2 linked regions of the Drosophila melanogaster genome follow. The protein of the gene in region 1 interacts with the protein of each later gene in a pairwise test. Each region holds a gene or a part of one and is shown in the gene's direction. Other genes may lie near its edges.

What was found.
Region 2: the proteins of nebu (region 1) and CG10527 interact in a two-hybrid assay, tested with the Drosophila melanogaster proteins (one large-scale study listed by BioGRID).

What each region holds. Positions count from the first base shown.
Region 1 is NT_037436.4:12,829,377-12,834,458, reverse strand, and holds the start of nebu (nebulosa), read left to right. Parts: upstream 1-1,907; 5' UTR 1,908-2,396; coding exon 2,397-2,576; intron 2,577-5,082.
Region 2 is NT_033778.4:21,069,699-21,074,610, reverse strand, and holds CG10527 (uncharacterized protein), read left to right. Parts: upstream 1-1,821; 5' UTR 1,822-1,876; coding exon 1,877-1,886; intron 1,887-2,715; exon of another isoform or gene 2,716-2,807; coding exon 2,808-3,209; exon of another isoform or gene 3,210-3,550; coding exon 3,551-4,029; 3' UTR 4,030-4,243; downstream 4,244-4,912.

The sequences.
Region 1 (5,082 bases):
TGTTGCATAACGCCGTTGGTATTTTATCGTTTCACCCTTTTGGCCTTTTCCATCGCACCGAGTAATTAGTATGTATAGTGTTGTGCTGCGTGCGCTGGTTGTAGATACAGATACTTTCAGTAGCCAGCATATACTTTCTGTATCTACGCAAACGCTTTCGCAGCAGGTGAGCCTGCTTTTAGGCGCTCTGCGAGCCTGTTCCCATCGTGGAGCGTGCCAAATGTTTGGTTGTGTTCCAAGTCCCGCCACAATCTGCGCGTTAACGCCCCCTGCCACCAGCGGGGGGTTAATGGTGGCGGGCACAAGGACAAGGTTAAGGGTGCTCGCCAAGCGCGTTTGCAAAACGATAACGGGGTTGCGTTAGAACAAGCTCACCATGGCAAACTTTTAAAGTGCGTACAGTAAAAAAAAAAAAAGATGGGCTTAAGCCATTTTCATGTGCTATTATGCGTGTTATTATCTTTAAAAACATTTTCAATCAATAATTGTTTATTTTATTATATTAATATATTGGTATTTTTATGGAAATATGTAAAAAAGAAAAAAATAATTATTGCTTGAAAATTCTTTTTATAACAATCGAAGTGTGTACTTAAATATTTGTTAGTCTTTTTTAAGATTTTAATTTCTGCGCAAAACCTTTCCTGAGTATCTGGATGTACTTTTATAAATACCATGTGCCTGAATAAATTATAAAATGCGGAATGCATTTCACGTGCATATGTAAACATTTTAATGTTTGAGAGGTCGTAATAAAAATTCCTGAAATTTAACCATTTCTAATTATCTGACCCATTTATGGCTTTCGAGCAGTGTCATGTTTGTTTATTAAAACGGCCCAAAGCGTGAAAATGCTTATTTTTACCCACCAAAAGAGGCAATCCATTATGCTCAGTGGCAGCCGCATTTTCCGGCCAAACAACAAACGTGATCCATTGAACGTACCCACTCGCAGCTAGGCAAACAGTACTTCCCTCCTGGCCAAATGGAATTGGAAATGATAATGGAAATTCTACAATTTGAACAAGCATCGAGTGTGTACAAAGATATATCTTTAGATCCACGTACTTCCCGATTCCGTAGGTGGAAGGAGAGCGAATGCATTTGTTCGTCTGACTTTGTATCTACATATATAATCTATCTGTGCATACGGAAGTTCAGTAAAGATAAAGACACGTGGCCAACTATATAGTAAAAGTGCATTTTAATCGTCTTTTACCATGGTTTTCTGTTATAATAAGCAAATGTATTTTTTTGTCTTTACCTGTATATATCTACGCTATTAATAAAACTATAATAAGTAATATATTTGAAGTTATATATTCTGCAAAAGTATTAATTATCACTGAGTTTGTGGATATTACTATAAAGTTAGTTATAAAATTTTTCAAAAAGTTTAATACTTTCACATCAAAGTTATCAATCAAAGCTAATTACGGAATAGTCCTTCGACAATTCGAATCAATTGGAGATGCATAAATCAGCATTGCCTTGACTTAATGGAGAGGCAGATGCAAAATGTGTAAACCCATGAGATGGAGATGCGCCCCATAAGCTGGACTGTGCATCGAAAGTTGCATCCACATGCACATGCACACACGCACAGCGACATCCATGCCGCGTCGTTGAATGCAATTTCAAGCAGAACGATCCGAAATAAAAATCCAAAAATCTGAGCAACGTAGGCGCCTGCAATTCCAGTTTGGATTTTGCCGCCAAGAGTCAATAGCCTCCTATGGATATAGACTTCACCCCAATGTATGGTCGCTGGAGAGCGGCACCAGACCAGTTTCCCGAGGCGGCCCAAGACCAAACCGAAAGAGAGCCAGCAAGAGAATCCGGGGAACTGGGAGAGCGGCAAGTCCACATAGCAGAGCCCGGCGGAGGCCTTTTTAGTTGTTTGACGCGCCATTTGCTAGCCAACATTCGTTGCGTGCGGTTAAAGATACAAAGATACTCCCGGCGCACAAATAAGATACTCGCGAGTGGCACTGCGGAAACATCGATGAGCCAACCGATACATATCCAAAAATATCCATATATCTTAAACGAAACTCGTGTCATATCGCCCAGTTTACTGGCTAATTAGAGGGGCAAAGAAGGGCCAAAATAATACATTTTTTGGCCAGCAACATGTTTGATTGTTGATGCGCATGCGCCCTAAAGTATTCCATGCTACGTGGGTGGCCGACGTGTTAAAGGACAAAAAACGCAAGCCAAAGGACATTTCACAGACATTGACGCATTGCTCAACATTATCACATCGCCAAAGCTAAAGTGCAGTTCCAAGTGAGAAAAGCGGGCAGAAGTTAACGGATAATCGCCGAAGAATATTGAAATACATATCCCCCATCGTAACTGTGCAATCCTACCGAAGTTTACATAATCCCTTCGATATGTCCACCGCATCGTCGAGCAACTCCAGCGGCGAGGAGGCCAACAAAAAGTCCGGCTCCAACAACGAGGAGAGCTCCCACCTGCTGGAATCCGCCGAAAATGGAGCCAAGTACGGCTCCAGACAGCCGGTCAAAATCGTCAAAGCCAGCGATAATGGACGCACCAGCTCCACACCACATGTACGCAAAGATTCGCATGTTTTCATAGATAAGAGCACTGAGAAAAATAAGACATATATAAGTTTGAAATTTTGCAAATTATGATTAGTTGAAACTTATGTTTAAAGAAACAAACTATTTCTACTACGCTCAGAGCCTAAAGACTTAATCGTTAATTATTTCTTGTGCTCTGTATTTATGTTTTTTTCTCAGTGCTTGCTTAACTTTAGTTAATTAACGCTGTCCAGCTGGTTAGCCAAGTTATAATGCATCTTTTGATGTTGACCTTGGCTGAGAGACCACGGCGAAAGTTCAATTAACGCAGTGTGAAAAACGAGACAGGAAATAAAGTTGCTTAAGCAGCAAATATACAAATGCCCTCAATATAAAATAATCAAGTTGTGATGCCTTTCCAATGTAAGGGCATTAAAAATCTGCGTTGTAGCTCCAAATATTTGCTCAAAATAGGCAAACAATCTTTGTTGTTGCAGAAGTAAATGAGGGGCTGAAAGCAGAAAGATGTTGCCGCTAAAAGATACGAGATATAAATAGTTTACCAGGCAATTATCAGGCTGAAATGAGTATTTTTCCAATTCCAAAAGCTATCTCTATCAAGCGAGAGCACAAACAAAGAAAATAGAGTATAATTTGCCTTTTCTGAAACCGCACGAGTTCACATACCTTATCCGCTTAACATACATACATGTATTTTAAGCGATAAACAATGAAAACACAATAATGTTTTTCAGTGGACTTTATCTTAAATCCAGTACGTTTTGCTACATTCTGGTAGCTAAGCGTTCATTGATGGATCGCACAGCTTATCAAACTAATGAGTTCCGTTCCAAAAACAATGTGGAAACTTTCTATTTTTATTTGGTTTTATGTTGAACATGGTCACAATAGGCGAACAAATGCTATGAAATACAAATCATTACCTATAGAAAATTAATTTTGCCTTGCAAAGAATAATGTGATAAGTGAGCACTTCAAAAATAGGGGCGTATTCCCGATTCCCCGAAAGTAGAAACTAGAAATAACAATGGTCACAATACGGTTTTGTTTTGGAATAACCGAAACCATACGTACATATATGAATTTTATCAGACAAATTCAATTGAAACTCGTTCCACTGAATTCCCAAAATGAGTCGACAATTTTGTGGGTGTTTATTTTAGTACAAAGAACACACGCATTAAATAAATTTGAATTTGAATACACTGAATTCCCAAAATGAGTCAACAATTTTGTGGGTGTTTATTTTAGTACAAAGAACACACGCATTAAATAAATGCGACACCCCTTTAACTCTAAAAAGAAATGCACTTATATAGACACTGGAATGATTTTATGACTACCATTTGAATACGTTTTAAAATGCGACCCACAAAATTATAAAAAACTCGGCCAGTTCGATAATGAAGTGTGGCACATTTTTTGAATATCAATGAGTTGCCCTAAATGGTTCGCTATGATGGTTATAAAGCCATCACCGTTTTCACTTTCATTGTCATCGTAATACACACCAAATTAAGCCATTATAAAACAACTTTGAATAGTTTTGAGTATAATATTGAAAGTAGCACGATATACTCAAGGCCTTAGAGGAATTATTCAAAAAAAGATGGGTGCACATTTATTAAGGTATTTTAAAAACCAAATAATCTTAATAATAAGCACTGTTTCCATAAATACGCGTAAAATGTAGTAGGAATTTTTCGAACTATTTTTATGCAAATTTTATGAGCAATAGCCCGGGATTATTGTGCATATATTAACCTAGACCACTCAATAATTATGGAGTATTTAAGCGGAATTGGCTTATGCTCTACAGTTAACCAGTTTAGAGGAATGCCAAAAGGCATATTAAATTACCATTCTTACTTATGACGCGCACTGTTGCGCCTGCCACTGACATTGAAACGAACTTGAACCTCCGCCCATTTGGCCAGTATCATCAACGGGTTTGCGGGGGCGGTGGGACTTAGCACCCGAAAGTGGGGGACTTTAACTGGCAGTAATACTAATTTTAGATACAGAACGACAGGAAGGCACTCAGACAGGCAATGGATTGACCACATTAGCCGCAGACGGAACTCAAACAAACCAAGGCACAGAATCGTGGACAGATATCGATTTCAGACGCGAGATTTGAACGCTTCGCTTAGTCGCGACTGGCAATCTGGAGGTGTGTCACCCAGTCGACCAGAGCAAAGTGACAGTTAATATGTGGGCGTATATGTACATATACGCCTGTGCTGTTGCCACATGGCCTTCTCCTTTTTCCAGCTGCAAATCTTGGCGTGCATTTTCACGGAAGTGATTTGTTCTCTGCTCCTTCGTTTCGCGTGGGTCGCCAGATTGGCAATGGAACTTTGAGTGGGATTCGCCAGTGGGCGGCGACACATGAGATGAGGCAAGTTATAGGCGACGAAGAAATAGCCATAAATTACCCATATGCGCGAAATGGCTTTTACGATGGTCTCTTAGACATGCAATATGCAATAAGCGAAAATATTATGATAAT
Region 2 (4,912 bases), on another chromosome or scaffold:
AAAAGTGCATTCTGTTGAAAAGTTATCTGAAAGATTAGATATAAATGATGAAATATTTTGACGGCATGCGTTTTATACTTATTAAGGTTAAACTTCAGACGCCTGACTCATAACAAACGAAACAAAGAACAAACTACAACAATGTTTCGCCTAGAGCCTTTAAAAATATTTAAGAAGCCATTTTCCATGCTTCTACTGAACTGACCCAAACAACACGAGTGTAACCTCTTTGTAAAATGATCTAGTACTACGCCACAGTTAAGAACAAATTAAGTCCTTTCCTGAGCAGTGCATTGTTTGTTTACTCGTCTGTCGTCGTGCACAGTATGTGTGTATGTATGTTTATATATTTTTGGCTGTGTGTTCAGCTGTCTCCGTTATAAATACACCAAGTTGCACGGCGTGAGCAATTGATCTACTCTTATCACAAGACAATTTGGCACGGCCACCGGCAGCTGGGAACACAAATAACAATTTGTTTATTTTAGACAATATTACTTCGTGGGGATTTCTGCGCATGCACGTTGTTTCGATATAAATGTAAAAAAAAGTGCGACCAACCGGCGAGACGAAAGAAAACCGACTGACATTGAGAGGCCAAGAAATAAGCAGTGGTGACGTAAAGAAAGATAATCCCGCTTCCGTCACAGGACGGATAAAAAAGCATGGTAAAAAAAAACAGTCTTACCATTTGGCACTCAATTAGAGGGTGACCCCAAAAGTATGCTACCATATGCTGCAACTATACTTTTTTAAATCTACTTCGGCAGCGCAATAAATAAATGATGACCCAATGGGTAATCTTATTATTATTGTTGTCTAGAGTCTAGCACATTATGTCAGCATCAACCATTTTGGACCCTTGCGGTGAAATCATTGACAGTAGCTTTTGATGCCCTGGTTTGGATATCCATGTGACCGCACAATATAAAAGCGGCACATGACGCCAAAATAAGTGACGACACTACTAACGGCAAACGAAGGCGAAACACAAGTTGATCGAATAGAATGTACCCTAGCTGAAATGAAAGTTAATCATATATTTTAGAAGCATTGGAACATCATAGAGTATAGAAGTAAGTCTCTTATACTCAAGAAATTCATTATTTTAAGATCAACCAATTCTTTTAACCAATTTATAGCTCATTATTTAATAGATTTTTTTAGGGCCTTCCTTTTTTGGAATAGGTCACATCATTAAGTGCCTTGCATACTAATTGTACACCTTGCATACAGTAGTAAATAGTAAATATTTATTCGCATAGCGATATGAAAATTATCATGCCCATAGAAAAAGCATTTTAGCAATAAAAGCTTGCTTATGGTTCTGATGACTAAGCAGCAGCTTTTGCCAACCTGAGTCATAGACCTCTTAAGCAAAACTAGGTGACAAAACTACCTTAGTTATACCGAAGCTTACATGCCCTTACCACGAGGTGAAAGTCCAGGGAACAAAAAGTTAAAAAGGAAATTACAATTATCTAATATTGTGCCCATGTACAAAATAGTTATATGTACATTTGTAAGTAAAGAAATTTTTTTTAAAGCTATGCCATTATGCTAGAAATTATCAGCCTTTAATTAAGATTTACATTTAAGAAAAATAATTGCCTTTAAAATAATTAAAGATAAGCCTTAGCATGTGCAGTATACCGCTATGTGAATAAGTTAGCTATTCGAGCTGGTACAGTTCGAATACTTTCTATATGGCCAACGATCTCCCACTTTGCAAGTGAGAGCGCCAAAGCTCTTGGAGCTTTTACTCTCTCACCGTCTCGGTTTTTTAGCATTGCTTACCTCGCCGGCATTTGGGCTCCATTGGGGCAGTTTGAATCAGAATCTCAGTAAGCGAACATCGTTGATTGAAACAGCAATCATGCCAATCGGTGAGTTTCCCAGTGGGTGTGGGTGGAGTGCCCTGAGCAGTTGGATAATGGAATGGATAATTGGGTGAATTTAAAGATAGGGAAATGTGCGGCGGAATTTTTGGCCCACGACCAAAATAGCATTGTGTCGTCCAATTCCTAGAATCGAAACATCCCATTCTTTATCTATGCTGGGTTTTTACCAGTGAAAAATACAAGCGACTTTCACCTTGTGATCGTCCAGATTCAATTAACGGCAATATGCTATACATATTGGACTGCCTTTATTTGGCCTAATTTATGACCCATCGAATTGATTCTCGACCAAAGGTGTCCGAAATTGTTCACCATATGCGATGAGTCACTGGTCTTCGCCTTGAACTCCGACAATAATCAATAGGAATTCAGCAGGGTTGACCCTAGGGAGGTCAGACGAAAGATGCACCTCCAATGATGTCATGCGAAATAATGCTGCTTGAGAAACCATTCGTGTAATCTATTCAAAGTGAATAGCACAAACCTCGCATATATCTGGGCAAATGTTTGTCGCTCGAGTGGCAGTAGAGCCGGCTCAGAGCTCAAAACTCGAAATTAAGCTTGAGTGGAATTAGCTAGAACAATTTGTTGCGAAGAACTGATGGCGATCTAAATGACATCATGCGAATGGTGCTAATAAGCAAGCGAAAACAAAAACAGACGCTAAACATGCTGATATATGTATGTTTATATGTACGTAGAAACCTAACAAACATAAAAATAGCTACGAATTCTTTCCAGTTCAAGTATTTTTTATGACAACATTCTCATGTTTGAGGTTGTTAATTCAAACCTCAAAACTTTCCCACCTTTCAAAGTAGTAGTGGGTACAGTTGGCTCAGAAAAACGTAGCCGAGTGTACAGTTGCCTCTGAGAATTTGTACTAATATGCCATCTCATTTGCAGAAGTCAACACCCCCGATAAGTTGGAGTACCAATTCTTCCCCGCCAGCGGTGGAGTTTTTACCTTCAAGGTGCGTTCCCCCAAGGATGCTCATTTGGCACTCACACCCGCGCCCGAGGAGAACGGTCCCATTTTCGAGATCTTTCTGGGAGGATGGGAGAACACCAAGTCGGTGATCCGCAAGGACCGCCAGAAGCCCGAAGTCGCTGAGGTGCCCACTCCGGGCATCCTAGATGCCGGAGAGTTCCGTGGCTTCTGGGTGCGCTGGTACGACAATGTCATCACCGTTGGCCGCGAAGGAGACGCCGCCGCCTTCCTTTCCTACGATGCTGGTAGCCTGTTCCCGGTCAACTTCGTCGGCATCTGCACGGGATGGGGTGCCAGCGGCACCTGGCTGATTGATGGTGAGTTTACACTCTGTTCCACGCCTTTTCTATCAAACGGAAAGCACAGGTGTTTACCCTCTCTGATTAGTTTACCCATCGTAATGATCTAAGTTAGCTATTGTTCTACAGCTGCTCAATGGCATCTATTGTCTAGTCAGCTGCTTCAGTTTGAATATCGAGTATTACTATACCCGCTACTCGTAGAGTTGGTACTATTGAGTACTGATCAATAACACTTAATTGCTCTCCAAGACTATATCCTTGCTATAAATATGTATTTGCCTATTATATATACATATATGTATAAGATTTGCTAATGATTTCATGAATTTCTAACAAATGCCACTATTTCCTTGCAGAGCCCGCTCCATCGGCTCCCGTCATGGGCTTCGCCGCGCCCACAGGAAGCGGACCAGGATGCTGGGTGCCCGCCGCCAACGGTGAGGTGCCACCCAACGCCCTCGAGGGAGGATTCGACAGCAGCGAGCAGCTGTACATCGCCCGTGCCCGCCATGAGGGCGACCTCATTCCCGGCAAGCTGCATCCCTCCCACGGAGTGACCTACGTAGCCTGGGGAGGTGGTGAGCACGGCCACGCCGAATACGAGGTGCTGTGCGCCGGCGGCGGCCAGTGGTTGCCCGTGGATGCCGGAAACATCCCGCCCAACGCCCTGCCTGCCGGAGAGACCGCCGAGGGCGAACCACTGTTCATCGGCCGTGCCACCCACGACGGAACTATCACTGTGGGCAAGGTGCAGCCCTCCCACGGATGCTGCTACATTCCGTACGGCGGCGAGGAGCTGGCCTACAAGGAGTTCGAAATCTATGTGACCAACTAAGCCACGGATCGAATGTCCAACGCACTGAAACAAAACGTTTTAAATCAGTTAATCTGAGCGCTTTACAGTTCAACTGGTCGCAGAAATTTTATTTTATTTATATGTGCATTTCTACTCAAAACTGTTAAAGAATCTCTATATTATGTCGAAAAGTTTATTACATTGTTCAACGAAATTGGTTAATAAACAATAAATATGTTTAAGAAAATAACATATCTGAAATAGGCACTTATTTGCATTCATTAAGCTTGGAAATAAATATAAAATAAGCTGAATAGCTGCTTTAATTTTTCAAAAAAGTGGTGTGTTAAGATTAGTTGGATTTTGGTTTTAGTGAATCTAACAGTTCTATCGCAATCATTAATCACCTTTTAATCCATTTGTACTCAATGAAATTAGTATCAAACATTCTTTTTTTTTAATAAAATCATGACTGAAATGAAATGACTGAAATCTATAGATTAGTTTAAGCAGGCAATTGAAAATAATTTACTCCCACTCAATGAAAATCTATTCCTAATCTCATTATCAGTGAACCCATAAAACACTCATACAAAGTTAGTTGAAATGTTGGCAGTACAAGGAACATATTGCTATATATATATATATTTATACCAAAACATGTTTTCTTTTATTCATTTTTAAAATGAATGAAACATATCATATTGGCCTATTTACATTTAAATTAAGGGTATAACTGAGTCGGTTTAGTCTATCAACTATATTAAAGTCAGTAACCAGCATGTGAAGTTTTTAGGTCAGCAACTAACCTTTTTATGTTTCTTTGAACACCTGGCTTTGAAATGGCTTTAAAATAATAAAAGTATCATATTTACAGACCCAAAAATACCCTTCTGCCAATGTGAAGCTTATAAAATATAAT